4 linked regions of the Anolis sagrei genome follow. The protein of the gene in region 3 purifies or fractionates together with the protein of the main gene of each other region. This does not show direct contact. Links are inferred from orthologs where the notes say so. Each region holds a gene or a part of one and is shown on either strand. Other genes may lie near its edges.

Region 1 (9,018 bases), on a different chromosome or scaffold from region 3:
CAGACTCACCGTCTTCATCCTCCACAAACTTCTTGGTCGGCCTGGCCACAACTTCTCCATCTTCACCGTATTCTCCCTCAGATTCTTCAGCTTCGCTTTCCACAAAGTCAGACATAGCTGTGGATTGTCGAGTCACACTTCTTGGAAAGGCAGGGGAGGGTAAAGCCAAAAAGATGGGAAGGAAGGTCTCTTCTTAGAGGTTTACAGCTGCCTTGGAGGAAAAAAGGAAAGGAAATAAAGCAAGGAAGGAAGGAGGAAGTTAGCTGTATTGTGTCCCAATATGGGGGAAAAGTTGGGCATCAATACATACTATAATAACAATAATAATAATGGTAACAACAACAACAATAAAGGCTCACAGAGGGCAAGGCTGAATGCCAACCTGGATGCAAAGAAAATAAAGCAAAATAAATACAATCATATCTACTTTTAGGGGTGAAGGACTCAAATCTTGTTGGGTGAGTGGGCTTATTAACAAAAGACCCTCCCTATAAATGTACAGCAGAATAATTTATTAGCAGCAGTGTGACCCAACAGCAGGAGCCCCAAGTGATAAAAAATAATATAAACACACAAAGAACAATGTTATCTCTTCCTTAAAAGGCTTTTCTTTGTAGTAAAATAATATGGTTGCACTAATTACAACAAGTTTTTCATAACACAAATAGACAAACACATAGTAGCTTTGCACAAAACAGCCTTCACACTGGAGGTTTCTCACACAGAGGTTTACCTCACACTCTTCAGGACGACACTAGCTTTTGGCCCACTAATTCTCACAGGCTTCGGCCTACTCACTCTCCTCAGGACGGCACTATTTACAACAACAAGGTTTCCATACCACAAATAAACAAACACATACTGCAGCCTTCACACTGGAGTTTTCTCACACGAGGCTTCTCTCACATTCCTCAGGACGACACTAGCTTTTAGCTCACTAATTCTCACAGGCTTCAGCCTACTCACTCTCCTCAGGATGGCACTATTTACAACACCAAGGTTTTCATACCACAAATAAACAAACACATACTGCAGCCTTCACACTGGAGTTTTCTCACACGAGGCTTCTCTCACACAGAGGTTTACCTCACACTCCTCAGGAAGACACTAGCTTTTGGCCCACTAATTCTCACAGGCTTCGGCCTACTCACTCTCCTCAGGATGGTACTATTTACAACACCAAGGTTTCCATAACACAAATAAACAAACACATACTGCAGCCTTCACACTGGAGTTTTCTCACACGAGGCTTCTCACACACAGAGGTTTACCTCACGCTCCTCAGGATGCTCTTTGATTGTAGGTGAACTATACATCCCAGCAACTACAACTCCCAAATGACAAAATCAATTTTTTTGAGTGAAGGACATATATTGGGTTGTTAGGTGTCTTGTGTCCAAATTTGGTGTCAATTTGCCCAGTGGTTTTTGAGTTCTGTTAATCCCACAAACGAACATTTGTGGGATAAAAATGTAATGTTAGTTCGTGCTACCATCAGAACTCAAAAACCACTGCGGGGATTGACACCTAATTTGGACACAAGACACCTAACAACCCAATGTATGTCCTTCGCTCAAAAATTGATTTTGTCATTTGGGAATTGTCGTTGCTGGGATTTATAGTTTACCTACAATCAAAGAGCATTCTGAACTCCACCAATGATGGAATTGAACCAAACGTGGCACACAAGACTACCATGACCAACAGAAAAAACTGAAAGGGTTTGATGAGCAGTGTCTTTTGGTTTTGGAGTTGTAGTTCACCTACATCCAGAGATCACTGTGGACTCAAACAATGATGGATCTGGACCAAACTCTACACGAATACTCAATATGCCCAAATATGAACACAGATGGAGTTTGGGGAAAACAGACCTTGACATTTTGGAGTTGTAGTTACTGGGATTTATAGTTCACTACAATTAAAGAGCATTCTGAAACCTACAAATGACAGAAATGGGGCAAACTTCCCACACAGAACCTCCATGACCAACAGAAAATACTTCAGGCCATCCAGTCCAACTCTCTTCACCAGGGCAAGAAAATGTAATCAGAGCCCTCCTGACAGAGAGCCATCCAGTCATAAATATAGATAGATAGATCTTAAAGAAGGACTATGATATGTTGCATATTCCAGAGTAGGCAAACCAGACACTCTCCACATCAACACTGACAAAGAAACAACAAGAAATACTGTTTACTCACAAGCAGAAAGGAATTACATATATTAGAAACCAACACTTTCTCGTTACTTTATTTTCCAGATCATCAGACTGGGCCATAGCAACGCCTGGCAGGGGACAGCTAGTAGATAAATAAATACATACATTTTTAAAGTGTAGCTCCAACCAACTTTGATGCCCAAGTTCTCATCATTGAAGATGAAGTCATCAATAAATAAATATATACTTATGCATGCTTCCAGAAGTAAATTTCCCTACCTAGGAGTAAATTTCTCTCACTTACTGTAAGTTGGATGTCTGTAACTCAGGGTCTGTCTGAATTATTATTATTATTATTATTATTATTATTATTATTTCCCATATTCTCTCAGGGTCAAGACTGTGCCTTCAGACCATCTGTGATTCATTTCATTTCCCTGTAAATAACATTAGCAACTGCTTTTCTCATGAACGGTGGGCCTTGTTCACAAAGAGAGTGGTCAAGGAAATGGTCAAGCAATAGCAGCAATGCACAGAGGTATAAACATGTCATTGGAAAACTATAATTCAATGCTCTGAAAAGCAAGAGCCTGGCTCCGCAGAAGGAGGAGCCCTTTCAATGCTGCATTAAGCACCTTGGAAGACTGCAGGGAGGGAGGAAGGAAATAAACCCAAGAAGCCAATCCAGATTGGAAAATAAGGCAGCCATCTTGCTCTGGGCGAAGCTGTTGGCCTAGTTCAACCCTTCACTAACCTGTTTGTCTCCGAGTCCGTGACAGGGCTTTCATAAATAGCAACAGCAAGAACAACCAAAACAAAAACATACTTGGATTTATTACCCACCTCTCCTCAAAGCTTGCAGCTGCTTTCAGCATAATCAAAACACACTGCCACAAAACACGTGGCCCAAACTATATCTCATTTCTATATTTTTGTGGCTAATTTATAAATCATTATTATGCCTAATTTATATATTACTGCTATGGCTTATTTATATTGTGGCTCATATATAAATTGGTGCTATGTTTTATTTCTATATTATTTTATGGCTTATTTATACATTGTTATGCCTTATATATAAACTACTGCTATGGATTATTTATATTGTGGCTCATATATAAATTGTTGTGTTGTATTTCTATATTATATTATTTCTATATTATTTTTGTGGCTTATTTATAAATTGTTGTTATGCCTAATTTATATAGAACTGCTATGGCTTATTTATATTGAGCCTCATACATACATTGTTGCTATGTCGTATTTCTATATTATTTTTGTGGCTTATTTATATTGTGGCTGATATATAAATTGTTGCTATATCTCATTTCTATATTATTTTTATGGCGAATTTATAAATTGTTATTATGCCTAATTTATATATTACTGCTATGGCTTATTTATACATTGTTATGCCTTATATATAAACTACTGCTATGGATTATTTATATTGTGACTCATATACAAATTGTTGTGTTGTATTTCTATATTATTTTTGTGGCTTATTTATACATTGTTGTTATGCCTAATTTATACAGAACTGCTATGGCTTATTTATATTGAGCCTCATACATACATTGTTGCTATGTAGTATTTCTATATTATTATTGTGGCTTATTTATATTGTGGCTCATATATAAATTGTTGCTATATCTCATTTCTATATTATTTTTGTGGTGAATTTATAAATTGTTATTATGCCTTAATTATATATTACTGCTATGGCTTATTTATACTGTGGCTCAGATATAAATTGGTGCTGTGTTTTTATATATATATTTGTGGCTTATTTATAAATTATTGTTATGCCTCATTTATATATTACTGCTATATTATTTATATTGTGGCTCAGATATAAATAGTTGCTATGTCTCATTTCTATATTATTTTTGTGGCTTATTTATACATTGTTATGTCTTATTTATATAGTACTACTGTGGCTAATTTATATTGTGGCTCATATATACATTGTTGCTATATCTTATTTCTATATTGTTTTTGTGGCTTATTTATAATTTGTTGTTATACTTTATTAATATATAGCTGATATAGCTTATTTATATTGTGGCTCATATATAAATTAGTGCTATGTTGTATTTCTAAATTATTTTTGTGGATTATTTATAAATTGTTGTTATGCCTTAGTTATATAGAACTGCTATGGCTTATTTATGTTGTGGCTGTGATATAAATTGTTGCTATATCTCATTTCTATATTATTTTTGTGGCTTATTTATAAATTGTTGTTATGTCTTATTTATATAGTACTACTATGGCTTATTTATATTGTGGCTCATATACAAATTGTTGCCATATCTTATTTCTATATTATTTTTGTGGTTTATTTATAAATTGGTATGTCTTATTTCTATATTATTTTTGTGACTTATTTATTAATTGTAGTTATGCCTGTGGGCTGATATGGGTGGGATATAAGTGATGTAAATAAATAAATAAATAAATAAATATTGCGTCACATCCGGTTTTCGAGAAAGGTAGGATAGAAATATCGCAAATAAATTATATATTACTGCTTTGGCTTATATACAAATTGTTCTTAAGGCTTATATACAAATTGTTCTTACTCACTGGACCTCTTGTCTGTCTGAGGCAAGTGTCAATGTTGCCATTGGCCAGCTTAATTAGCACTGAATAGCCTTGCAGCTTCAAAGCCTGGCTGCTTCCTGCCTGGGGGGGGGGATTCTTTGCTGCTTGTGGGTCCTCATGTGTTTTGGCCTACTACTCCTAGATATCCAACTATTAGGATTTCTATTCGCGCTGAATAGCCTTGCAGCTTCAAAGCCTGGCTGCTTCCTGCCTGGGGGGGAATCCTTTGCTGCAGTGGTCCTAAGCTTGTTTTTGGCCTACAACTCCTAGAAATCCTATTCGTACTGAATAGCCTTCCAGCTTCAAAGCCTGGCTGCTTCCTGCCTGGGGGGGGGGACTCCTTTGCTGCTTGTGGGTCCTCGTGTGTTTTGGCCTACAACTCCTAGAAATCCAAGCCACTTCACCAACTGTTAGGATTTCTGGGAACTGAAGGCCAAAACAGCTTGAGAAGCCCTGCTTTGTTGGGAGGTGTTAGCTGGCCCTGATTGTTTCCTGCCTGGCTCTTTGCTTATTGTTGTGATTAAGGCCTGTGGGTATATATATATCTCTCCTCACGACCCCCTCAGCCCTGGAGGCGCCTTTTGGGGGCCCGAAGTGGGCGGGCGAGGGGGGCGAGGCCTCCCTCTGCGGCCTAGAGGCCCTCCCAAGGCCTGAGCTCGAGTAGCGAAAGGAGGAGGCCGCGTCCAAAAGCCCTCCCGCCGCTCCCGAGGCTCCCCCTCACCTTTCCCGGCTGGCTGGGCCTTCCTGGGCCGAGGAAGGAGAGCGGAGGCCCTTCCCCGCCTCCGCGGCTCCCTCTGAGGCAAAATGGAGGCCAAGCTACGGGCGCAGGAGCAAGACAAGAGCGGCTTCCGGTCCCTGGCCACGCCCACTTCCGGCGTCTCCCCCTCGCGGAAGCCAAAGGAAGCGGAGGAGCGGCGCCCTGGAGGTGCGCATGCGCACTTGACTTGGCCATCAGTTTCCTGCCCTGCCTCTAGTGCCGGTTCCTGTCAGCCGTTTCCTGAGGGGCAACTTCCGGTGTGTCTCTTCTTGCCGGAAGAGGAAGATGGCGCCGGCCGGGGCGGCTTTGCTGCTGGTGGTGGTGGGCCTGGGGTCCTCCGAGGCGGCTCCGGAGGCGGTGACGTGCGGGTCCGTGGTGAAGCTGCTCAACCCCCGCCACGGCGTCCGCCTCCACTCGCACGACGTCCGCTACGGCTCCGGTAAGCACTCTGCACACGCCCAGAGGGCCCACCGGCGCACACTAGGCCGCACGCCCCTTAGGCCAACAGCCCTTCAGGCAAGGCAGCATCCTCACACGGATTCTGGGCTTTGTAGGCCAACAGGAACTTTCCCCATGACTTTCATTATATATATATATATATATATATGATTTTATACTTTTATTAGTTTACATATATTTTTATCATTACTATAATTTTAGATATATTTATATATATATGAATTTATACTTTTATTACTTTACCTATATTTTTATCATTACTATAATTTTAGATATATTTATATATATATGAATTTATATTTTTATTACTTTACCTATATTTTTATCATTACTATATTTTAGATATATATATATATATATATATGATTTTATACTTTTATTAATTTACATATATTTTAATAATTACTATATTTATATATATATATATGATTTTATACTTTTATTAAATTATCTATATTTTTATCATTACTATATTTTAGATATATATATATATATATGATTTTATACTTTTATTAATTTACATATATTTTTATCATTACTATATTTTAGATATATATATATATATATATATATATATGATTTTATACTTTTATTAATTTACATATATTTTAATAATTATATATATATATATATGATTTTATACTTTCATTAAATTATCTATATTTTTATCATTACTATATTTTAGATATATATATATGATCTTATACTTTTATTATTTTACATATATTTTAATAATTATTATATTTATAGATATATATATTTATGATTTTATACTTTTATTAATTTACCTATATTTTTATCATTATTATATTTTAGATATATATATATATGATTTTATACTTTTTTATTTTGCATATATTTTTATAATTATATATTTATAATTTATAATTTTATTAATTTACCTATATTTTTATCATTACTATAATTTTAGATATATATATGATTTTATACTTTCATTAATCTACATATATTTTTTTCATTACTACAATTTTAGATAGATAGATAGATAGATATCATTTTATACTTTTATTAATTTACCTATATTTTTATAATTATTACATTTTAGATATATATTTATGAATTTATACTTTTATTAATTTACCTATATTAATTGGTTGACATACAAACAAATTTTAAAAACCACAGCTGAGAAACACTTAACCATAAAAACGATAGAGGAGATTAAACAACAACACACCAATTTTACATGGATGCAATATCACCAACTATACCGAAGTTATAAAGATGATGAGAAGCAAGGATTCTGCCAGGAACAAAATATCTGGGACATAGTAATGCAGAAGGAGAAGAAATTAATCAGAATAATATATAAGCAGTTACTGGGGTGGGCAACTGAAGAAGAGCAAATTAAGGACTGTCAGGTAAAATGGGCAAAAGACTTGGGTCACAACATACTTACAAAACAATGGGAGGAAATTTGGAACACAAAGTTAAAATATACGGTAGCTACGGACCTAAAAGAAAATTGGCACAAAATGTTTTTCAGGTGGCACTATTCCCCAGAGAAAATTGCAAAGTTTAGTAAATCAATATCAAACAAATGCTGGAAGTGCCAAAAAGAAATAGGGACATACTACCACCAATGGTGGGGATGTAAAAGAATCAGGAAGTACTGGAGAGAAATACATTTAGCAACACAAAAAATTCTAAAAACAAATTTTCCACAACTCCCAGAAATGTATTTATTAGGTATATCCTATCCCAAATTCAATAAAAATCAAGACAAAGTCTTCTTCCTGATGAGCACAGCAGCCAGAATTCAACTTGCCAAAATGTGGAATCAGAAGGAAACCCCGACAATAGAAGACTGGTTTATAAAAATACTGGACATAGTACAAATGGACTGTTTATCTCAGCGTCTTAACAACATTACGAAGAGGACAAATTGGGGAGGTCTTGAAGACTTCATTAAAAGGGAAAAACTGACTATGATAATAGACATTTCCAGTCTCTGAAGGAAATTAACAGATGGAGACAACGCCGGAAAAATGAAAGAAATTTGGATGAGAACCATACCAGAAGGGGAAGGTTCTCTTTGAAGACTTTGGGAAGTCCTTCACATGGGGGGGGGGGGGAGGAGGGAGGAGACAGGTGGGGGCGGCACGGGGATCTTTTAGGCTGTTTCTTTTTCTCTCTCTCTTTTTTCTCTTTTTTTTAAATTATGTATCACAGAAAAAACTGCACAATAAACACTATAACAAAAAAAATATTTTTATAATAATTAATTATAAAATATTTTTATAATTATTATATATTTATAATTTATACTTTTATTAATTTACCTAAATTTTTACAATTATATTTGTAGATATATATATATTTATATATGATTTTATACTCTTATTAATTTACATATATTTTTATCATTACTATATCTTTAGATATATATACATAATTTTATATTTTTATTAATTATTATTATTATTATTATTATAACTTTATTTGTACCCCGCTAGCATCTCCCAAGGGACTCGATGCGGCTTACAACAGGCCAACGCCGCAGAACAACAATACAGCAAAACAATACAAAGCAAATTAAAACGGTTAAGCAAGTAAACAAAACAGTAACAATACATCAGACAATTATTAAAACTGGGCCGGCCAGAGTAGTGGGTACAAGATTAAAAGTGCTGAAATTGTGGGAGGAATATAGGGTTATAACATAAGTGCAGTGTGCGGTGTGCAGTGATCGTGGTTCTACTAAAGTGCATCTGGGACTTGGTGTTGAGGTTCCTAGTCTGAAAAGGCACATCGGAACAGCCAGGTTTTCAAGTTCTTCCTGAAGACTGCCAGTGTGGGGGCCTGTCTAAGATCTTTCGGGAGGGCATTCCAAAGTCGGGGGGCCACTACAGAAAAGGCTCTGTCTCGCGTCCCCACCAAGCGCGCTTGCGATGCAGGCGGGATCACGAGCAGGGCCTCTCCAGATGACCGGAGTGAGCGTGTAGGCTCATAGATGGAGATGCGGTCACGCAGGTAGGGTGGTCCCAAACCGTTCAGGGCTTTGTAGGTGGGC
Region 2 (8,566 bases), about 97 Mb from region 3:
TTTGCTTCTTCCAGCACGCTGACGTTTGTCCACTTGTCTTCCCAAGATATTTGCAGGATTTTCCGGAGGCAGTGCTGATGGAATCGTTCCAGGAGTTGCATGTGACGTCTGTAGACAGTCCACGTTTCGTAGGCATAGAGCAGGGTTGGGAGGACAATAGCTTTATAGAACTGCATTAATTCTACAGAGTAGATGCATTATGAGTTGCATTGATATCAGGACCTCAGTGACTGCAGTTTGGTGCATATTTATGTACAATGTGTGCAGGATGTTGGCTGTTCAATACACCTTCTAAACTTCTTGGCGGCCATGGGCATGAGAGGTGATGAGACATGGTCATCAAAGAACAAGGTTTCAAACAACAATTCTGAAGTTTCAGACCATTTTCAGATTACGTGAGCAAACACAAGCAAGCATGTAAAATGTCATGGCCATTCTATACAGATTATTTCTGTTGCTTTGGTCTACAACAGAGGACACGATAAAACTGGACTGTGATAGCATGAGCACTAGTGTTAAAAACAAATGCATTTGGATGAAGTGGAGGAAATAGTGCTGCAGCGGTTCTCCACTTTTAGAGATCAAAGCAATGAGTTCCAGATGTCTGTCACCTGTCTTCAGGTAAAGTTAGAGGGTCCCCAATCTATATAAATAATGTTCATTTGTGGGATTAACAAAACTCAAAAACCACTGGGCAAATTTACACCAAATTCGGACACAATACACCTATCAGGCCAACAAGTGACCATCACTCATAAAAACACTGAAAAATACAGTGGAAGAGACTTAAAAAGCCAAAAACTAAAAAAACAACATTACAACTTATGCACAAAACCACATATATACACATATACACACATATATACATACACATATATACACACACAAAACACATATACACAGACTGGGCCACAGCAATGTGTGGCAGGGGACGGTTAGTGATGAAATAAAATTAAACTGCTAGTCTGATTAGTTTCCGTAATCTTTTGCTTCAAACAAGAAGATGACTTAGGCCACTTTAGTTACTGTCTTGGATATATTTGACAGATGCCATGGTCAGTAGATGTGCATGGATAGCTAGTGTGATGTTTGCTGGCTAATTTGTGCACATCGTATTTTGGAATTTTTCTAAAAAGTGGTACATCTGTTAATTTAATAATCAAATTACAGGCAACCTGATACTGAGTTGGAGCTACTGGTAAGCGGGGTGAGTGGGGGGGGGGGGGGGGTTGATGTAGGAGAAAACTCTAGGTCTAAGTACAAAGTACCAGCAGTAGTATTGTAGTATCACCAAAAATGCAACACCGTGTGAAGTTCATGGTCCTGTTTATCCAGCAGTAAATATCCTAAAGGCATCTGATTGATCCTGGAAGCCAAACATGTTCAACTCTGGTTAATACTTGGACAAAGACCAGGTACTATGGATATTTCACAGGAAGAAGATGGTAAAACAATCTCTGAGTATGTCTTGCTATGAAATCCATACGATTACCATAAGTTGACATGGGGATTAAAGGCACATGCAAACAAATGCTTGTTCATACATAGAACACTAATGCCTTCAGTACACAACTATTTATTAGGATATTTTAGTGGCCTCTAGTGGTTATTAGTGGCATTAATATTTTTAGAATAACCATTGGCTCCTTTTTATTTTATTATTTTTTTCCCAAATACAATAAAAGTTCACTCACAAGTAATAACTTAAAAAGGCAGGGAGAAATGTTGAAAAAAAGTGAATAGAAGAAATAAAATATATAGTAATTTCAAACTGCTTTTTAAGCAATCTTTTTTCAAAAAGTCTCTACTGATTTTTCTTGAATCAAATTGAGATTGGATCCATTTCTGGTAGCTCATTCAGTGACCATTTTCCCTCCATGGCTATGAATATATTCTTCTAAGTCTAGGCACACAACAGTCTTGCCACTACAATCATGTATTGAAGAAGTCTTCTATGGCTCCTTTTTAGTTGTTGTTCCATATGTTTTCTTTGACCAGTGTTTTGTTTTACCACATTGTTAAGAACTGAACTTTATATTGACTGGTGTTTTATTTTCCCAGACTGTAGTAAATTTGTTCTTTCCAAGTTTACTACAATTCAGTCTGGCTTTACCTTACATTAATGACTCCAACTGCAAGCTGGTTTAGTTGAATTAATCCGGTAAAAAGGATATATGCCACAGAATGAAGACAGGTTGTGTATTTGTGTAAGCAGCAAATGGGAGCCCCCGGTGGCACAGTGGGTTAAATCCTTGTGCTGGCAGGACTGTTGACTGAAAGGTCAGCAGTTTTAATCTGGGGAGCAGGGTGAGCTCCTATCTGTCAGCTCCAGCTTTTCATGCAGGGACATGAGAGAAGCCTCCTACAGGATGGTAAAACATCCAGGCATCCCCTGGGCAATGTCCTTGCAGATGGCCATTTCTCTCACGTCAGAAGTGATTTACAGTTCAATGCAGTTAAACTGCATTATATGAGTTTACACTGAGCATATAATGCAAGTTTCCAACAGCATTATATGGCAGTGTAGATGGGACCTGAGCTTCCTTTTGGGGTTGAAGACAGCTTTTAAGGGATGTTTCCTGGCAATAAGCAGTGGTTGTACGTATTTTAAAATATAGAACAGACTGGTTTAAAAATGAATATCAAAGAATTTAAGGCTATTTCACATCTTGATATATTTCAGTCCTTCTCCAGAAAATTACACTATAATCCCACGCAGATCTACAGAAATCCAAGGGTTTGTTTCTCAATAAATCTACTGGGGATAATGGATGATGACCTGTTAGGATCACAACCTACTGGGGATTATGGTTCATGACCTGTTAGGATCATAACCTATTGGTTCGCAGAGTTATGTAGGTGTTCCTCTAGCTTATTGAGTAATGGATGGTCGCTAGGCACATAGTTTCTATTAAGTGCTCTCAGCAGACAAAGATTCAAATTGACTTCTTTAAAAATAGCTTGTTTGTTTACTCATAGCTTCATGTACTAAAATATACAGGCACATTTCTTGTCATGTTAAATTTTAAAACATTTTGGTTTGTATCTTTAACTTATTGTCTTTAATAGTCTTTTCAAAAACTATATTGTTCTGTACAGTTCTCTTTCATAACAGTCTACTATTGAAGAATTCAAGCTTCAACAGTTTTCTAACTTTCTACATTGACATCTGACTGAAAAACAGACTTCTGTACTCAAGCTGACTCAAGACTTAGCTGTCATTCCTCAACTATTATCATGTTTAAAATGCATTATAAACAGTCCCGTGATCTGCAGCCCCTCGCACTGCCTCAAGTATATAGAGCTAAGGAAACTGCAAACCAAAGTAGACATAAGCCTTCGACAATACAAAGTAGACATACACTTTGGGAAATAAAACGACACATTATAAACAGACATAACATTAAATAGAGGAGGCTTGAGAAGGTTGCGATCTCCAACAAAATCGCTACCCTCAAGTCTTTCTGAAACGAATGAGGTTAGTGTGATATAAGTTAATCACATCCCATTGATTTCTTATGAGTTTGTATGTAATTTTCCTGGACGGAGACTTTGTATTAAGAATACAAGTTTAGAGCCCTTGATCCTGAATTCCGAAATATTCCTAAACAGTCCAAATGGCTGGCTGAGATAGAAACACCTTTGCTTTCTTATGCTTTAAGATGTACAAGCTTTGTTTAACATAAAGTTACACAAATATTATGTATGAAATTACTCTCAGGCTGTGCGTTTAAATTGTAAAAGCAGTTTGTGTTTAGACATTTCCAAGATATATCAGTATTCTAAAATCCCACAATATGGAACATTTTTTTTCTGAATGAGGTCACCATCCCAAAGGGATGCATCTACACTGGAGAATGAGTGCAGTTTGACACCACTTTAACTGCTATGGAACTCTGGGGTTTGTACAATCATAGAATCAAAGAGTTGGAAGAGACCTCATGGGCCATCCAGTCCAACCCCCTGCCAAGAAGCAGGAATATTGCATTCAAATCACCCCCGACAGACGGCCATCCAGCCTCTGTTTAAAAGCTTCCAAAGAAGGAGCCTCCACCACACCCCGGGGCAGAGAGTTCCACTGCTGAACGGCTCTCACAGTCAGGAAGCTCTTCCTAATGTTCATATGGAATCTCCTTTCTTGTAGTTTGAAGCAATTATTCCGCTTCCTAGTCTCCAGGGCAGCAGAAAACAAGCTTGCTCCCTCCTCCCTGTGGCTTCCTCTCACATATTTATACATGGCCCTCATCATGTCTCCTCTCAGCCTACTCTTCTTCAGGCTAAATATGCCCAGCTCTTTAAGCCGCTCCTCATAGGGCTTGTTCTCCAGACCCTTGATCGTTTTAGTCGCCCTCCTCTGGACACTTTCCAGCTTGTCAATATCTCTCTTCAATTGTGGTGCGCAGAATTGGACACAATATTCCAGGTCTGGTCTAACCAAGGCAGAATAGACTGTAGTTCGATGAGGCACCAACATTCTTTGGCAGAACGAGCTAAATGCCTTGTAAAACTACAACTCCCATGATATCATGGCAGTGAAAGTGGTGTCAAACTGCATTAATTTAGAGTGTAGAGGCAACCATTGTTATTTCAAGACTTATTCTGTGCAACTTGGAAGCAAACACCGTCAAACTTTCAAAAGTAGCGCCCTGGTGTCGCCCTCCTTGACGTCACAGAGCTTGAAAGGAACTTCATTCCCAAGAGAGGGCAAGCTGACGTCCGTCCGCGCCGGCTTCAACGCCTCCTAACGCGCATGCCCGGGGAGGAGGGGGCGGGGCCCGCTGACCATGGGCTCTCCTGCTCTCCACGTTCCCCTAGCCGGGGGCGGGGCTTGAGGCGGCGCGGCCAATCAGCGGCTCCCACGACCCAGCCCCAGGAACCTGGCTGAGAATGTTGAGAGAGTTGAAGAGTCCCGAACTCCACTTTGACGCGGGTCGGGCGGCGCACGTGGGAACGCAGCAATGGTCTCTCCCCGGGCTTGCGTGCACAAGCTGGCCTCGGCGCTGCCCTTACTCTTGACGCTGTGGGACCTCCACTTTGAGGGTGAGGAGGCTGGGAAGGGGGAGAGGGGTTCTTTTCCTGGGAAATCAATTGGGACAAGGTTAACTTAGACTGCATTTGCCTTTATCCTCTGTCAGCCTTTTGGGGTCGCTCCCTGAATGTGTGGATTGAGGTCTAGGGTGCATCTACACTGTAGAACTTAATGCAGTTTGACACAACTTTAACTGCCATGGCTCATTGCTATGGCATCCTGGGAAATGTAGTTTTACAAGGTCTGGCAAAAAACCAAACTTCCCCAAAGTACAAAACCCAAGTTAAAGTGGAGTCTTCGTGGTATGGTATAGATGTGCCCACACCTCACATTTATAGCACTTTGATACCGCTTTAACTCCCTTGGCTGTTTCCCGTGGAATTCTAGGCTCTGAAATTTGACGAATGATAATAACTTAAGACTTCTTTGCCTGAAAGTTTTAATAGTATTCGGTGATTTGACAAACTTTGGTCTTAAGCGTGTTTTGGACTTCAACTCCCAGAAGCCTCAGCTGCTGTGGCTAGTGGTGAGGGATTCTGGGAGCTGAAGTCCAAAACACTCAGAAGGCCAGAGCTTGGGAAACTCTGGGGGATTCTGTTTCCCTCGCCAAATACAAATCCCAGCGTTGCGTCAGATGTTTTCAAAGTGCTATAGTTACATGGTGTGAAGTCTACATTAGGAAGCAGGACTTCTTCCTGGTCCTGGAAAGGCTCAGGAAGAGACTTGAGATGTGCGATAGGATTCCTATGTATGAGTGCATCCACACTGTAGAATTATTGCAGTTTGACACCACTTGAACTGGCATGACTCAATGCTATGACCTTATGGGAGGCACCAGCAAGCAGGGAAAGGCCTTATAAAACTATAACTCCTATGATTCCATCTATACCTGAGAACAGGCCTGGGCAAACTTTGGCCTTCCAGGTGTTTTGGACTTCAACTCCCACAATTCCTAACAGCCTATCGGCTGTTAGGAATTGTGGGAGTTGAAGTCCAAAACACCTGGAAGGCCAAAGTTTGCCCAGGCCTGCTCTAGAATGGATGCATTTTGGTGCCACTTAACTGCCATGGCTCAGTGCTGTGGAATCATGGGAATTGTAGTTTTTCTATGTGCCTCATCACACTAGAACTCCCAGGATTTCACTCCCAGGACGATACCACTTTAATCATAGCAGTTAAAGTGATACTATACTGCATTAACAGTGCAGATGCACCCATGTCTTTGAATCCTGTTCCCTGTAAGTGTTTAGGATTTCAGCCGTTCACCTAAGGGAGTGCCCAGTTGACATCCTTCTTCCTTGTTTCGCCCCAATCTCTTCCAACGTCATTCTCATTCTCAGACGACAATGACTTCTGGTCTTGCTGCTTTATATGTAAAATGGGAATATCAATCGTAACAATGGGATGATGTTATTGAAGGTCTTTTGAACATCAAAGGAAAGTGACATAAAAACTCTGAGTTGGAGGATCACGTGTAAGACAAGGCTTGCTAGTGTGAGTAAGTTCTGAGGTCCATGAATACGGATTTGTAGTGCAAATATAATGTGTGGCCTCTTAGCACATAAACGGTTAGCAAACATTCAGAAAGTTACAAAAGTTACAGTGAGATCCTGTTAGTTTCTCAGCTTCCTTCCTTTTGTGGACAAGAGAGACCGTCATGTGGCTATGAGGGTTGTTTTGGGCCATGATGCTCAACTTACATAATACCAAAGAATAATATAATAACAACCATACTATATTAACATTACTTTCATAATGCATATAGTCTTGCAGTAGTAATAGCTTTGATTAATGTCTTTGTTTTGATATTACTGGTTGTACGCGCCACGCATTGCTGTGGCCAACCTTCCTCTCCCTCTTTCCTTCCTTCCCTTTTTTATTTCATTCTCTTCCTTCTCTTCCTTTTCCTTTCCTTCCCCCCTTTTCTTTCCCTTCCCCTTTCTCCCTTTTCTTCCTTCTCTACTTATTCTTGGACTGCAACTCCCAGCAGTCCTCTTGATCAATCGATCTATATCTACCTATTTATCTCCATCTGAATCTATCTGGGGGATTGCTGAGAGTTGCAGTCCAGGAATAGGAAATTGGAAATATGCAGGGATTGGGATGCTCTCAAAGAAATCCAAGGAGAAGAAAGCTTGTATCTTGGAAGCGGTGCATTTGGATCATCCTCCTCTCCTAAAGGGCCTGGTTTAGAGGATGCTGGGAGCTGTAGTCCGAAAGAGAGTGTGGATATGCTTTTGTGTGTTTTGTTTGCCAGGGGAGTTGTTTTTGGGCATGCCCTGTAGCGTCTTTTTGCTTTTTTGGCCTTTTAAGTCCCTTCTATTGTGTTTTTCAGTGTTTTTATGAGTGATGGTCACTTGTTGGTGTGATAGGTGTACTGTGTCCAAATTTTGTGTCAATTTATCCAGCAGTTTTTGAGTTATGTCAAACCCACAAATGAACATTACATTTTATTTAAATAGATTATTATTACTACTTATATATAGCTTTTCTCTTTTAGACTCAAAGTGGTATTCCACTTTCTCTTATATTAGACCCTTCTACACAGCTGAGTAAAATCCCACAGTTATTGACTCATATAACTAAGGGCCCTTCTACACAGCCCTATATCCCAGAATATCAAGGTAGAAAAACCCACATTATCTCAGTGTGGACTCAGTTAACCCAGCTCAAAGCAGATATTGTGGGATTTTCTGCCTTGATATTCTGAGATATAGGACTGTGTGGAAGGGCCCTTAGAGATCCCTTTTTATTTCCCAATTTAGTCTTAATTTCTATATGATGGGAGTATTTTTTCTTGCTGTTACTTTACTTTTTTGTAATGCTAAGCACATAAACCTTTTTAATTAGATCTTCAAATGTAAATAAAAGTAAATCTCATAAATTTAAAAAAACCCAGGCACTAAAATAGAAAACAGCAATTTAAAAAAATCATATGTAAAAATATCCCCATGATTTTTCTACCCTGTTACAGCCCCTCCCTTGCCAACTAAAACTAACAAATAAATGTTACCCCTCTTTAAATAAATAAAATTTAAAAAAACATACCTTCTCCACTCCTCAAGCAAAGGCAGCTATCAAGTTAAGTTTAATAAACTTATTGTTCTATTTACTGGTAGTTCATTTCGGCTTCTGTGAAATACAGACAATTGTATTTTAAATTATTGCTAAGGAAATTGGATAGAATCAGTGATACTTTCAAAGAAGTGTATTAAAGACCAATATTCTAGTAGTAATATTCAGAATATGTTGATATATTGCAACTCTATGAATTTTATAGGGTTTTCTTAGGCAAGACATACTAAGAGATGATTTGCCAGGTCATTCCTCTGAAATGTAGTTGAAAGCACTGTTTCTGAAACTGTGGGTTGTGATCCCAAACGGAGTCTCCTCAGCTCAATGTTGGGATCCTGAAAAAATTGGCAACAGTAAAAGATTTCTGGATGCCACCTAGTGGCTGTTTTAGACATTTACATGAATATGTCGTGCAGTGTTTACCATGGACTCTGTAAATGATGCTTCAGCTGTACTTCACAA
Region 3 (7,936 bases):
AGAAACTGATCTAATATCCCTAGGGAGGGTGTTCCATAGCCAAGGGACCACCACCGAGGAGGCCCTATCACTTGCCCCATTGTCCTATAGCCACTACTCTGTATTTGCAAAAGCTTGCTCGAAAAACCGTCTTGAGCTTTTTCCGAAATGTTAAAAGGGAAGAAGCTGATCTAATATCCCTAGGGAGGGCGTTCCATAGCCAAGGGGCCACCACGGAGAAGGCCGTCTCTCACCCCCCGCTTGTGATGAAGGCGGGACCGAGAGCAGGGCCTCCCCAGACGATCTTAAAGTCCTCGATGGTTCATAAGAGGAGATGCGTTCGGACAGTTACGTTTATTTATTTAACAAACTTGGTGATTAGCAAAAGCATTTTTGGGGGGAAAATAGTCCAAGTACCAATTAAAAAAAACCCTCTAGGGATAACAGCAGTTATTTTTTTAGTTTCCAAGAAATACCCGTGATAGGTTCATCTCAGCATGCAGCCGTACTGTGGAATTAATGCAGTTTAACACCACTTTAAGTGCCACAGCTCAATACTATGGGAGAATTCATTTGGTGAGGTATCCCTAATCCCCTGGTTAGAAAAGGCTTGCAAAACTACAACCCCATGATCCCATTCCATTGAGCTATGGCAGCTAAGGTGGTCTCAAACTGTATTAATTCCAGTGTAGATCAGGCCTGGGCAAAGTTGGGCCCTCCAGATGTTTTGGACTTCAACTCCCACCATTCCTAACAGCCTGAGGCCCTTTCCTTTTCCCCCTCAGCCGCTTAAGCTCCTCTCCCTTCGGCCCAGCGACGCTTCCCGCCCTCTCCCTCGCCCACTGCGCCTGCGCACAAGGATGGCTGCCGCGGCTGTACAGCAACACTCTTACCAAAGAGATGCTTCGGGCTAGAACAGCCCTGTTTTTGTTTTCCCCGCCACACCAGCGCTTGAGACTGCTCGCGTCATTTCCGCTCATGGTTGAGGCAATAGCAATGACTGCGGGGAGGCTGAGATCAATTCCATATCGCCCTCTGCGGATGGGAGGACCTCTTCCGCTGTTTCTCCTATGTAGATTGACATGCTTATCTGCCACGGCTATGGAAACTTGGGACTCCCAAGATTCCATAGCATTGAGCCAAGGCTGTTTAAAGTGGTATCAACCCGCATTAATTCCACAGTGGAGATATACTACTACTACTACTAATAATAATAATACGATATTTTAATTATATATTTATATGACATGTAATAGAGCCCCCGATGGCACAGTGGGTTAAACCCCTGTCCCGGCAGGACTGAAGACTGACAGGTCGCAGGTTCGAATCCAGGGAGAGGCGGATGAGCTCCCTCTATCAGCTCCAGCTCCTCATGCGGGGACATGAGAGAAGCCTCCCACAAGGATGATAAAACATCAAAACATCCAGGCGTCCCCTGGGCAACGTCCTTACAGACGGCCAATTCTCTCACACCAGAAGCGACTTGCAGTTTCTCAGGTCGCTCCTGACACGACAAAAAAACCCGACATGTAATATTACTAATAATATTACAATATAATGGTATAGTACAATATAGTAATCTTCTGTTGTTCATTCGTTCAGTCGTTTCCAACTCCAACTCCATGTGGGCTGGTCCATTGTGACCTCATGGACCAGCCCACGCCAGAGCTCCCAGTCAGCCGTCACCACCCCCAGCTCCTTCAAGGTCAATCCAGTCACTTCACTTCACAGTACTCTTCTATATAAATAAATATAATCTTCTATATCTATATAAATAAAATAAAAATGTATAAATAAAAATGTAATGTTCGTTTGTGGGATTAACAGAACTCAGAAACCACTGGGCGAATTGTCACCAAATTTGGACACAATGCACCTATCAGGACAACAAGTGACCATCACCCATAAAAATACTGAAAAACACAGCAGAAGAGACTTAAAAAACCAAAAAAAACCTTACAACACATGTGCAAAACCACATATATACACAAATATATACACATATATATACACACACAAAACACATATACACAGACTGGGCCACACCAACGCATGGCAGGGGACAGCTAATCTATATAAATAAAATGTAATGTTCATTTGTGGGATTAACATAATTCAAAAACCACTGGACAAATTGACACCAAATTTGGACACAATACACCTATCAGACCAATGAGTGACCATCATGCATAAAAACACCAAAAACACAGCGGAAGAGACTTAAAAAGCAAAAAAATAACCACCCTTACAATGCATGCACAAAACCACATATATACACTTATATTCCCATACCAAAAAAGGGAAATGCTAAAGAATGCTCAAACTTTCATACAGTGGCACTTATTTCACATGCTAGTAAGGTAATGCTCAAGATCCAGATGTACAAGCTGGTTTTAGAAAAGGCACAGAACAAGAGACCAAATTGCCAATATCCGCTGGATAATGGAGGAAGGCAGGGAGTTTCAGAAAAACATTTACTTCTGTTTTATTGACTATTCTAAGGCCTTTGACTGTGTGGATAATAATCAATTGTGGCACGTTCTTGGTGGTATGGGGATACCAAATCACTTTGTCTGTCTCTTGACAAATCTGTATAATGACCAAGTAGCAACAGTAAGAACTGACCATGGAACAACAGACTGGTTCAAGATTGGGAAAGGCGTAAGGCAGGGTTGTATCCTCTCAACCAACCTATTCAACTTGTATGTAGAACACATCATGCAATGTGTAGGGCTTGACAAATACAAGGCTGGAGTTAAAATTGCTGGAAGAAACATTAACAACCTTAAAGATGCAGATGAGACCACTTTGATAGCCGAAAGCGAGGAGGAGCTGAGGAGCCTTCTAATCAGGGGAAAGAAGAAAGTGCAAAAGTGGGTTGCAGTTAAACATAAAAAAAACAAGATTATGGCAACAAGACTGATTGACAACTGGAAAATAGAGGGAGAAAACGTGGAGGCAGTGACAAACTTTGTATTTCTTGGTGCAAAGATTACTGCAGATGCAGACTGCAGCCAGGAAATCAGGAGATGCTTATTTCTTGGAAGGAGAGCAATGACCAATGCCGATAAAACAATGAAGAGTAGAGACCTCACACTGACAACGAAGATACGCATAGTTAAAGTAATGGTATTCCCCGTAGTAACCTATGGATGTGAGAGCTGGACAATAAGGAAGACTGAGCGAAGGAAGATAGATGCTTTTGAACTGTGGTGTTGGAAGAAAATTCTGAGTGCCTTGGACCGCGAGAAGATCCAACCAGTCCAAACTTCAGGAAATAAAGTCCGACCGCTCATTGGAGGGAAGGACATTAAAGGCAAAGATGAAGTACTTTGGCCACATCATGAGAAGACAGGAAAGCTTAGAGAAGACAATGATGCTGGGGAAAATGGAAGAAAAAGGGAAGAGGGGCCAACCAAGGGCAAGATGGATGGATGGTATCCTTGAAGTAACTGACTTATTTATTTCATATCAAAAGCATTGCATAAATTAGTATAAAACCGATAAAAATAAAAAGAGCGCAGGTGGCTAAATATCTTTTTACCAAAATCAGACAACAGCAATGGCATTGCCTGTAGCCTCCAACAATTCTTCCTCTGTACATGAGGCAGAGCATAGTAGACAAGTATACAGATGCAGAGTTGTCTGTTCTGCTCCACAGTCACATAAGGTGTGGGATTCTTTTAGGTAGTGCCATTTTGCCAGGTTGTCTTTTGTTCTGCCCACTCTACTTCTGAGTCTGTTCAGGGACTTCCAAGTTGCCCATTCTTGGCTTGGCCCTGGAGGAAGGCCCTCCTGGTGTAGGGAACTATTTTAATTAGTGATGGTTGGTGACAAAGAAAGGCAAACATTTCCCTACACTGGGGGGGGGGGGGGGTGCATCCAGTTGGGATTTCCTGGTTTATCTGCCCAGAGGGGTATCCTTGCTGTTGCTGGGGGGACGCCAAGAGGAGTGGAAGTTCTCATAAAGCTTTTCCTTGATTTGACTCTACTGGGAGGAGTAACTGAATTGATTCTGAAGGAGCTGGGGGTGGCTATGGCCAACAGAGCTCTGGGTAGGCTGGTCCATGAGGTCACAAAGAGTTGGAAGCAACTGAACGAATAAACAACAAAACAATATAATATAGTAACTTATAATAATGTGCTAGGCTAATATATTGTATATACACATATTAAAATAATATAACGTAATACAATATACTAATAACGCATTATAATAATTATATTATATATATTATATATTATTTTTATATTATATATAAGTATTATTATTATTGTAATATAGTAAAGTATATTAAATATACTACTGATAATATATAATTGCACAGTTTTATTATTATATATATTTGTATATTTTAAGTTGTAATGTTTTTTATTGTGAGCCGCTTTGAGTCTTCGTATGGAGAGATAGAGCGGGATATAAATAGGTAAGCCTAGAACAGCTCGCGACGTAAGCACGGCTGCTCCCTCTCCCCCTCCTCCCCAGCGTCCTTATTTATTGACGTCTAGAGCCGTGATTGGCTGCGCCCTGCCGGCTCGCGGGTGAAGTGTGCAATTGTGGTTGGCCGGTGGAGCGTGACGCGGCTGCGCTGTGCCGGGCGCTGATTGGCTGCTTGCCTGCCTGCCTTCTTTCACCGGGTTTCTCCGTCGTGCCGATGGTGACCGGCGAGTCAAGGAAGGAGTGAGGAGGGGGCGCGCGCTGAAGCCGTTTCGAGGACCCTTCGGCCCCGCCATGACTCCCAGCTCCCTCGGCAGCCTCCTCCTGCTGCTGCTCTGCCTGCTTGGGGACGCCATTGCCGGGTGAGCCCCAAGAAAGAGGAGCGGGGAAGGGAAGGGAACCCCATCCGGCCTTCTGAGAGGCTGATATCCGCCCCCCCCCCCCCTTTTACTCCCTTGAGTCTTCCACAGGCCCCCTTCCCCGCCATTTCTGCCCCCGTCCTTCAGCTCTCCTCACAGTGAGGCCTTCCCTTCCTCTCCCTCCCTCCCTCCCTCCCACTGGCATTCTCTCAGCATCATTCAGGCCCCTGTGAGGCTTGGCTTCCCTGCCTCCTGTGTGAGACTGACATCCCATTCTCAACTCTGAGTGCATCTACACCAGGCATGGGCAAACTTGGGCCCTCCAGGTGTTTTGGACTTCAACTCCCACCATTCCTAACAGCCTCAGACCACTTTTTCCCCCCCTCAGCCACTTAAGCGTGGGAGGGAACGGCTAGTGTGTGTGTGTGTGTGCATCTCCACCCATGAACCGACTAGGACATTAAGATCGTCCTAGTCGGGGAGGCCCTGCTCTCGATCCTGCCTGCATCTCAGGCGCGCCTGGCGGGGACGAGGGACAGGACCTTCTCGGTGGTGGCCCCTCGGCTGTGGAATGCCCTACCTGTAGACATCAGACAGGCCCCTACATTGTTGCCGTTCCGGAGGAAGGTGAAGACCTGGCTCTTCGAACAAGTGTTTGGCTAAACAGTGCAATTTATTATAGGAATACGGTGCAATCGAACATAGGAACATGGAACAAGGATTATGAGAATGGTTCTGATTTGAGGCGTTATGATAATGATTGTTTATTGATATTGACTGTTATGTATAATGTGTTTTAATTGCCTATTATACTGTCTTGTGATAATTTGTACTATTTAAACCGCTTTGAGTCGCCTACGGGCTTAGAAGAGCGGTATAGAAATAAAGTAAGTAAATAAAATAAATAGGAGGTTGATGCACAATTGATCAACACAATGTTCACAGAATGAGGGTCCCAACCAGTGTCATGGTAACACGACAATGGTGGCTTCTCATTTTCCACTTTTACAGCCGTTGTAATAATAATAATAATAATAATAATCTTTATTTATACCCCGCCACCATCTCCCCAATGGGGACTCGAAGCGGCTTACATGAGGCCAAGCCCAAATGACAATTACAATAAAGAAAAACCAAAAAACAACACAAAAATGCAAACAATAAACAATAACATCATAGTTACATAAAACATATGAATACATAACAAAATAAAAATTACACTATGCACAGGCACAGTAATAATGGGCGGGCTACGTGTAATGATTAAAACTAATTAAAAACTCGGGCGAAATAAAAGAGAGAAGCAGGTAATTTACAGAGGAGGGCTCATTTTAGCGGGAGTTGTGGAATCAAGCTTTCCCATGAGGGAGGGACATATACTCCAATGACAGAACTTCGGGGCTGAGCAATCATGTGGGGTTATATACCTACTCATCAAAGGCGCAGCGGAAGAGCCAGGTTTTAAGGTTCTTTTAAAAAATTTCTAGGGAAGGGGCTTTCCTAATTTCTCCAGGCAGCGAATTCCAGAGTCGGGGAGTCACAGCGGAAAAGGCTCTCTCCCTTGTACTCACTAGGCCAGTGTTTCTCAACCTGGGGGTCGGGACCCCTGTGGTGGTTGCGAGGGGGTGTCAGAGGGGTCACCAAAGACCATCAGAAAACATAGTATTTTCTGTTTGTCATGGGTGTTCTGTGTAGGAAGTTTGGTGGGGTTCAGAATGCTATTTCGTTGTGGGTGAACTATGAATCCCAACAACTCCCAAATGGCAAGGTCTATTTTTTCCAAACTCTACCAGTGTTCACATTTGGGCATATTGACTATCTGTGCCAAGTTTGATCCAGATCCATCACTGTTTGAGTCCACGGTGTTCTCTGGATGTAGGTGAACTACAACTCCAAAATCTCAAGGTCAGTGTCCACCAGACTCTCCCAGTATTTCTCTTGGCCATGGGAATTCTATGTGCCAAGTTTGATCCAATTCCATCATTGGTGGAGTTCAAAAGGATCTTTGATTTTAGGTGAACTATAAATCCCAGCAACTCCAACATTCCCAAATGACAAAATCAATCTCCTCCAACCCCACCAGTATTCAAATTTGGGCATATTGGGTATTTGTGCCAAATTTGGTCCAGTGAATGAAAATACATCCAGCATATCAGATATTTATATTACGATTCATAGCAGTAGCAGAATTAAAGAAGTAGCAACGAAAATAACATTATGGTTGGGGGTCATCACAATGTGAGGACCTGTACTAAGGAGTCGCGGCATTAGGTTGAGAACCACTGCACTAGGCAAGCTTGAGAAACTGGCAGGGGCGAGAGAAGGGCTTCCCGGAAGATCGGACGGCCCGAGGTGGTTCATGGAGGGAGATACGGTCACAAAGGTAGGCGGGTCCCAAACCGTTTAGGGCTTTATAGTTGATAACCTACACCTCGAATTGGGACTGGAAAATAAACGGCAACCAGTGGAGTTCCTTAAACAGGGGGGTTGACCGCTCCTTGTAGGTTGCTCCAGTTATTCATCTGGCTGCCGAACGTTGGACAAGTTGTAATTTCCAGGCTGTCTTCAAGGGTAGCCCCACGTAGAGAACATTACAGTAATCCAGTCTAGAGGTAACTAAGGCATGGACCACCATGGGCAAGTCAGACTTCACGAGGTAAGGTCGCAGTTGGCGCACAAGTTTTAATTGCGCAAAGGCCCTCCCAGCCGACACCTGCACATCGAGCGTCAGCGCTGAGTCCAGGAGGACCCACAAACTGCGGGGGTACCATGTTGTCTTCTAATTGATCCGCCGTTGAGGTCTTCAGATTATGCTTGGTGTGCGGCCCCTCTAGCTTTGGTTAGCATAGGGAAGGAATAACACCCCTGTGTCTGTGCCCCTGTTCAGAAGATTTCACCTTACTTTCTTAAAAAAATCAGCAGGTGAGCTTTTGTGAATACCAACCTCATGTCATTCTAAACATTTAATCTGTTTCTTGTTTCGGTTTTCAATTTAAGAAGCATTGAAAATCAGCTCTCACAAAGATATATAGAAACAAAGGGGAGTATAACTTGAAACACAAGCATGGTGACATTTGGATGGCATGATTTTATGTTTTCCCTTTTTAAAATTTGCATAGCTCACCACAGACCCCTTCATGACCTCATTTGGGGTTGCAAC
Region 4 (8,031 bases), on a different chromosome or scaffold from region 3:
GCAAGAAATATGGGGCTTTAACGAAAAGGGGGTGACAAAAGGAGTTCTATGGGACACTATGAAAGCAGTGACCAGAGGGTTATGTATAAAAGAGGCAATTAACTTAAAAAGAAAGCAAGAAGAAAGGAAAAGGAATTTAGAAAGAGAAATAGAAGAGATTGAAAAAGCATATGTAATAAAGAGAGATACACAAATTTATGCTAGGTTAAGAGCAAAAAAAGAGGAATTGGATAAAATGGAAATAGACGAAGTACAAGAAAATTTAATTTATTTAAGGAGGGAATATTTTGAGTTTAGTGATAGGAATTCAAAGATGCTAGCCAAATCAACACAGAAAAAGAAAATGGAAGGAATGATAAATACGATAAAAGATAAAACAGGTAAATTATGTAGAGCTATGAAAGAAAAATTGAAAGTATTTGAAGAATTTTATAAAGAACTATATCAAACCAAAGCAAGCCCCATAGAGGCAATTAGGAAATATGTGGAAGAAAATTGGAAGAGTAAGCTGGAGGAGAAAGATAAAGAGTTACTGGAACAACCTATTAGGAAAAAAGAAATAGAGGAAGTTATTAATAAATTAAAAGTAGGAAAAGCTCCAGGCTTGGATGGTCTAGGGACAGAATATTATAAAAGCTTTAGAGAAGTTTTAACCCCAAAATTATTGGAATTGTATAATGGAATAATGAAGGGAGATAAAATACCCGAATCATGGAGGAGATCATTAATAATATTAATACCCAAACCTGATAAAGACTTAACAGACCCAGGGTCATATAGGCCCATATCATTAATTAATCAGGATGCAAAGATATTGTCCGCAATATTAGCCAATAGAATGAATAAATGTATGTATAAGTACATAAAAGAAGATCAGTGTGGGTTTGTAAAAGGAAGACAAATGTCAAATTTGATAGGGAGAGTACTAAATAAAATTCATTGGGCTAAAGAGGGGAAGGGAAAAGCAGGGATATTATCAATAGATATTTTTAAAGCATTCGATTGTGTGGAATGGGAGACATTAAGGGAAATATTGAATAAATTTGGAATGGGAAATAGAATAAAAGGAGTACTAAAACAATTTTACTCAAGGAACTCAGCAGTGGTAACTATAAATGATGGAGTGACAAACGAAATAAAAGTGACTAGAGGAACCAGACAAGGGTGCCCTTTGTCTCAGATACTATTTGCTATGGTGATAGAATTGTTTGCTAATAACATAAGGAACAATAAAAATTTAGAAGGGTTAGGAAAAAAGGAGAAACAGAAGGTGAGCTTATTCGCTGACGATACATTGTTATTTATAGAAAATATAGTGGAGAAAATGGATAGAATAAAAGAACATTTGGAGATATTTGGGAAAGCAACGGGTTTACAAGTCAATTGGAACAAGTCAGAAATGATGCTACTTAATTATACAAGAGAAGAAGAAAAAGATTTTATAGAACAGAGAAAAATGGGAATAAGAATTAAGAATAAATTAAAATACTTGGGAGTAATAATAACTAAGGATTTAAAAGAGATAGAGGAAGTAAATGTAGTAACTTTAAGAAAAGAAGTTCAGAAAAAGTTAATAGAGTACGAAGGTATACACTTATCCTGGTTTGGAAGAATAGCATTAGTAAAAATGAAAATACTTCCAAAAATAAATTTTATATTTAGGATGCTACCACTTCAAATCACAGAAGAAGAACTAACTAGATGGCAACAAATGATTAATAAGTACTGTAATGGAAGTAAAAGAAACAGACTAAATAAACAGTTATGGTATAGATCGCAAAAGGAGGGTGGACTAGCACTACCTAATATAAAAAAATATTATGAAGCAAGTAGATTAAGTTTGGTTATAGAAGGAATGGTTAAAAAAGAGGGAATAGATTGGCTTAGTAATGATTCAGGAAAAGTGGAAGATGAAATTTGGAATATATTTTTTAAACAGTTTACTACAAAAGAAATGAGGGAAATTAGAAACCCAATGCTGAGTAACATACTGAAAGTATGGAATAAATATAAGGGGAGGTTAATAAAGGAGGGATCAATTATAACCCTAATAGTGATGGAAAAGAAGTTCCCAATTTTTTTTAAAAAAGTAATGGATAAAAAGGTAAGGGAAATAAATTTAGATAGGATAGGGGATTGGATGAAGGGGGAAATGAAGAGGGAGACGATGTTGGAAGAGTTTAAAGAAATAAAATTGTCATGGTTTCATTGTATACAATTAGAACAATGGTTAATAAACTGGGAAAAAAATAATAGAAGTGGAAGCCAACCCAATCAATTTGAACAAATAATACAGAAGGGAAGGGCTGTAGAAGAACATGAAAACTTGAGAGGTATAATTAGCAAAATCTATAAGATACTAATTGAAATGAAGGATGAAAAAATAAAAAAGTGTACCCTTAAGGAGATTTGGGAAGAGGATTTAGGGATAAAAATAAGTGAAATAGAGTGGCGACAACTATGGGGACAAAGACATTTAAAAAATTTATCGATACGAGTTAAAGAAAATTATTACAAGTTAATATGGAAGTGGTACTTAACACCGGTAAGAATAGCATATATGAATAAAAATAACTCAATAAATTGTTGGAGAGGGTGTCAAGAACCAGGAACATATATACACATGTGGTGGCAATGTAAATATGTAAATAATTTTTGGGAGAAAGTATTTAGAGAAATAGAAATTATAATGAATATGAAAATAGATAAAAGTCCTAGTATAGCCTTACTATCATTATATAACAATAAGCAATTGAAAAAGGAGGATAAAGAAGCGATAACAAACTTATTAACTATAGCAAGACTGCTCATAGCAAGGAATTGGAAAAAAGAAATGAATATACAAATAGAGGAGTGGTATAAGGAAGCATGGAAAATAGCAATAAATGATAAATTGACATGTATATTAAAGGTTAAAAAAGGTACATGGAAACAAAACGATTTTGATGCTGTATGGGGAAGATTTGTGGTAAATTGATTAAAAAATAAGGAAGGAAAATTACCGTCACAAGAAGAAATGAAATTTTGGACAGATGAAATGTAAGAATGGTGGCTTGAGACGGGTGGAGGGGAACACTGTGGTGGAAAAAAGGAAAAAAGAGAAAAGGGGGGGGAAATGTCAAAGCAAAACAACATGTTAAAGAGGTTGATGTACAAAATGCAATAGTATGTAATAAATGTGATAAATCAATAAAAAATTATTAATAAAAAAATTGAAATCCACAAGCATGTGGACAATTTCAACAGAAAGGAAGAGACCATGAAAATGAACAAAATCTGGCTACCAGTATTAAAAAAACTCTAAAATTACAACAGCAAAACAGCAGAGAGGAAACAACCAGGCACATCTTAACACCTCTCAACAAAAGGTTTTCCCAGGCTCAGCCAGGCCTTCAAACGCTAATGAAGGTGGTCAGTTGAAACATTCACACCTAGCTCCAGCAGAGAAGAGCTTTTTGCCCCACCCCAGCCATTCCACAGATATATAAACCCATTGTCCTAATTCCAATAGACCTCACTACCTCTGAGGATGCTTGCCATAGATGCAGGCGAAACGTCAGGAGAAATGCCTCTAGAACATGGCCCTATAGCCCGAAAAAACCCACAAGAACCTAGTGATTCCAGCCATGAAAGCCTTCGACAATACATTGTACATGAATACTCAATATCCCCAAATGTGAACACTGGTGGAGTTTGGGGAGAATAAAATATTGACATTTGGGAGTTGTAGTTGCTGGGATTCGTAGTTCACCTACAATCAAAGAGCATTCTGAACCCCAACAATGATAGAATTGGGCCAAACCTCCCACACAGAACCCGCATGTGGGCCACAGCAACGCATGGCAGGGGGCGGCTAGTATTATATATAATACTACACACATATATAATGTAATATGTTGTACTATATATATTATATGTATATTGTAATACATATAATATACATTACATATATAATAATATTAATATTGTGTGTGTGTGTGTGTGTAAGTATAATATCACCTTGGTGCTTCAGACTCCAGGGAGCTGAGTTCGAATCCCTGATCCCCAACTCTGTCATAGAAGCCCATTGAACGTCCTTGAGAGAGTCACACTCTCTCAGCCTCGGAGTGGAGTGGGCTAGAATAGGCTCTGTCTTGGCTCCATGCTAGGAGGGTCCTGCCGCCTCCTCTGCGCCTCGTCCAACTAGAACTCCCAGGACTCCACCACACTGAGCCAGAGCAGCTAAAAAAGCGGAGTCAAACTGCCTTGATTCTACATTTGAAAGGTTATAGCAACCCACCCATGTGAAATGCCGACGCCGGGCCTCGAACTCGGAAACTCCCGAGGCTGCGCTTCTGTACCTCTGCCATTGCTCCGCCTTCTTCTTCCACGTGCGTCCCGCCCCTTTATCGAGGAAGGGAAGCAAGGCGGGAGAGCGTCGCCACGCCGAAGCTTCTGATTGGCTCGCCTGGCCGCCCGCCGTAGGCCAATCAGCGGCGCCGCCGTCAACGATCCGAGCCAGAGTGTGTGGCCAGGCACGCGTGGGCGGTGCTGGCATGCTCTGATTGGCTCAGCCCCAGTACCGGGACCGGAAGTCGCTTCGGAACCGTGCAGAACCTTTCAATATAGCAGCAGCGGTGGTGCGGAGATGCGGCGCGGGTTGGGCGCTGGCTTTTGCCGGCTGCTGCTCCTGCTGCTCTTCGCCGGAGGCTCGAGCCGGGCGTCAGAAGCGGAGGCGGGCGCTGTCACTTGCGGCTCGGTGCTGAAGCTGCTCAACACGCGGCACAACGTCCGGCTCCACTCGCACGAGGTCAAGTACGGATCCGGTGAGGAGCGGAGAGACAAAGTGGCTCTACCAACACCCGCAGCCCAAAGATTCCAGTCAAAGGCTCCTAGCCCCTCAGAAGCTTTTGGACTTCATCTCCCGGCATGCCTCACCGCTGGCCCAGGTGGCGGGGCTTATGGGAGTGGAAGTCCCAAAGCCCTAGAGGGCCCCAGAGGCCGAGAATGGCTGCCAAATGCACACAACTTAATCAAATCCCACATTATCTGCTTTGAACTGGGTTATATGGAAGCGTGGACTCAGAAAACCCAGTTCAAAGCGGATATTGTGGATTATCTGCCTTGATATTCTGGGTTATATGGCTGTGTGGAAGGGCCCTAAGGTCCTTACCACACAGCTGTATAAAATCCACATTGAACTGGATTATCTGGCAGTGTGGACTCAACACAGATTTTTTGGATTATCTCCCTTGATATTCTGGGTTATATGGCTGTGTGGACAGGACCCTGGGTTTTCTGAGCGCCTATCCACACAGTACCTTTATCCCAGGAGCTCCCGGTTCAAAATCGTGGGTGGCCAAACGACGACCCCTGAAAACACAGGGAAAAAATGCTACAAAGCACTAAAAACGTTGTGGGAATATCCCAGTTCTGGCTGGAAAATGTGGATATTCGAATCTCTGTGGGCCCTTCCACACAGCTATATCACCCAGAACATTGAGGTGGAAAAACCCATAATATCTGCTTTGAATTGGAATATCTGAGTCCTCACTGCCATATATCCAGTTCAAAGCGGATAATGTGGGATTTTCTTCAGCTGTGTGGAAGGGACCTATATGTCCCTACACTCAGAAAATACAGGATTTTTATGTTGGTTTATTCCCATACATGGTTTGTTCCACATACATGTCAGTTCCTGATTGGTTTTATCCGAAGAACATGGCAACAATTGACTAGAGCGCAAAAACTATATCCTAGCAAGAGAAACTTTGTCCTCCACACGTTTAATGAAGTTTGTGACACAGAAACAAAAGTTTTGCTGTGTGATCAACTTCCCCCATGTTTTATGATTAAAGCAATGAGGAACAGAGACATGTATAACCCAGGAACATCACCCAGTTGTTTCCAGGCACAAGTACATGACAAAACCTGTCTGGACAGATGGCCATGCGGCCTCTGAATTACAATAATGATGAAGTACTGTTCCTGGCTTGAAAGTGTGAGTTCCTGTTTAATAGTCTTGTCCTGACTTTGAAAGTAGTGGTCCTCCTCCACAAACTTTGTGTGCCACAAACTTAATTAAAGGTGTGGAGGATGAAGTTTCTCTAGCCAGGATGAAGTTTTCACCCTCTAGTCAGAATTCATAATCTTTTCAGGAAAAAAGCAATGAGGAACAGATATGTTTGACCCAGGAACAAAACTCATACAAATGATGCGCATATTTATATGCATCTATACATTTCAAAGGTTTTTTTTAAAAAAACGCCAACATTTCTGGTGGATGTCCCGCAGCAGCCATCTTGCGGGCTTCAAAATCCTGGAACAAAGTTGTTAGTGTGGATGACAGAGGCACAAATCTTGGGACTAACAGGTCTGTGTGGTGACCTCTTCTCCGGACCCAGGTTTTTTGTCCTACCTATTAAACCCGCAATTTGGTGCTGTCTGGAAGCACCCTGAGTCCACACTGCCATATATCCCAGTTCAAAGCAGATAATGTGAGATTTTATACTGCTGTGTTGAAGGGGCCACAGTTCAAAGCACATTTTGTGCATTATCTGCTTTCATATTCTGTGTTATATTGCTGTGTGGAGGGGCCCTCAGCAGGTTAGGACCTGGATGCAAAATCACCCAGGCACCACATATACCACCATGTCAAAATTGGTATTATTTGTATACGAGTCCACACTGCCATGTAATCCAGTTCCAGGATAACACTGTGTAATGAAATTTCAGGGAAAAAGTTCTGTTCCTGGTCTAAATGTGTTATTTCCTGTTTAATTGTGCGGTCCTGACTTTGAAAGTCATTGTACTACTCCAGAAACTTCATTTTTGTGGCTGCCACAAACTAGGGGCCCTTCCACACAGCCCTATATCCTGGAATATCAAGACAGAAAATCCCACAATATCAGCTTTGAACTGGGTTATCTGAGTCCACATTGCCATATAATCCAGTTCAATGTAGATTTTAAACTGTGTGTGGAAAGTGCATAGTGTAATCTGGATTTTATATGGCAGTGTAGATGAGGAATGGAGGAACGTCTTGACCAAACCACCAAAGGGAAAAACTTGTGAAATTCATGAAACTGCCCAAAGTCAATGGGCCACTTGAAGGTGTAGAGTGCATCCCATCTTAATACCTGCCTGAATGCATTCGATTTTTGTCTGATCTTGGAAGCTAAGCAGGGTCAGCATGGATGGGAGATCCAGATTATTCTAGGTGCTGTGGGCTGTGCTTCAGAGGAAGCCCTCAGCCGAACCACCAATGGAAAAACCCTATCACATTAATGGGGTTGCCCGAAGTCAGCAGGCAGCTTGAAGGCACAGGGGTGGGCACATGGGAGATTCTGTTTTAATGGTTTTGTTTCCTCTTTTGCTGACTATGTTCGTAGGTAGCGGACAACAGTCAGTGACTGGAGTCGAAGCTTCTGATGATGCAAACAGCTATTGGCGGATCCGGGGCAAAACCGAGGGGTCCTGCCAGCGAGGGATGCCAGTGAAGTGCGGACAAGCCGTGCGCCTCACACATGTCAACACAGGGAAGAATCTGCACACCCACCACTTCTCTTCACCGCTCTCCAACAATCAGGTCAGAACCAGATTCTCCCATTACACTATGTAACATATTTTTTTAAAAAAATGTTCTTGGTTTAAAAGTGTTATTTCCTATTTAATTGTGCAGTACTTACTGTGAAAGTAGTTGTTCTATTCCAGAAATTTTGTTTTTGTGGCTGCCACAAACTAGGTTGAATTGACTGAGACTCAATGACATACTCATTGAAAAAACTATAGCAAAATGTGCTGCAGAATGTCCTGCAAAAACAAAGTTAATAAACAAAAATAACCTTTGTGCATTTTTTATGATAGAGCCAATTAGAAAATGACATTTATAAACCAGGATCAAAATCATGTTATGTAGTGTTACGTTCCATATTTCTTGTATGTGTAGTCCAGGATTGCACAACTTGGTGATATGAAGGGGCTGAAATTAAAATAGGCTAAACTTCTTGGGGCTGTAGATAGGGTTTGGGTTTGGGAGAGGGCGCCTTTCCT

The links.
Region 1: the proteins of DNAJB11 (region 3) and SDF2 purify together in Homo sapiens (affinity purification with mass spectrometry; 3 studies listed by BioGRID and IntAct, counting the BioPlex papers as one, with this or other methods). This does not show direct contact. The link is inferred for Anolis sagrei from reciprocal best matches to the Homo sapiens genes DNAJB11 and SDF2.
Region 2: the proteins of DNAJB11 (region 3) and DNAJC3 purify together in Homo sapiens (affinity purification with mass spectrometry; 3 studies listed by BioGRID and IntAct, with this or other methods). This does not show direct contact. The link is inferred for Anolis sagrei from reciprocal best matches to the Homo sapiens genes DNAJB11 and DNAJC3.
Region 4: the proteins of DNAJB11 (region 3) and SDF2L1 purify together in Homo sapiens (affinity purification with mass spectrometry; 3 studies listed by BioGRID and IntAct, counting the BioPlex papers as one, with this or other methods). This does not show direct contact. The link is inferred for Anolis sagrei from reciprocal best matches to the Homo sapiens genes DNAJB11 and SDF2L1.

What each region holds. Positions count from the first base shown.
Region 1 is NC_090031.1:35,000,505-35,009,522, forward strand, and holds the start of SDF2 (stromal cell-derived factor 2), read left to right. Parts: upstream 1-5,758; 5' UTR 5,759-5,810; coding exon 5,811-5,964; intron 5,965-9,018. Other genes in the region: SUPT6H (transcription elongation factor SPT6), read right to left, coding at 10-115.
Region 2 is NC_090023.1:126,801,483-126,810,048, forward strand, and holds the start of DNAJC3 (dnaJ homolog subfamily C member 3), read left to right. Parts: upstream 1-4,843; 5' UTR 4,844-4,958; coding exon 4,959-5,040; intron 5,041-8,566. UniProt on the Homo sapiens protein: Involved in the unfolded protein response (UPR) during endoplasmic reticulum (ER) stress.
Region 3 is NC_090023.1:223,644,748-223,652,683, reverse strand, and holds the start of DNAJB11 (dnaJ homolog subfamily B member 11), read left to right. Parts: upstream 1-4,577; 5' UTR 4,578-4,711; coding exon 4,712-4,779; intron 4,780-7,936. UniProt on the Homo sapiens protein: As a co-chaperone for HSPA5 it is required for proper folding, trafficking or degradation of proteins.
Region 4 is NC_090034.1:33,709,000-33,717,030, forward strand, and holds the start of SDF2L1 (stromal cell-derived factor 2-like protein 1), read left to right. Parts: upstream 1-4,536; 5' UTR 4,537-4,627; coding exon 4,628-4,805; intron 4,806-7,370; coding exon 7,371-7,567; intron 7,568-8,031.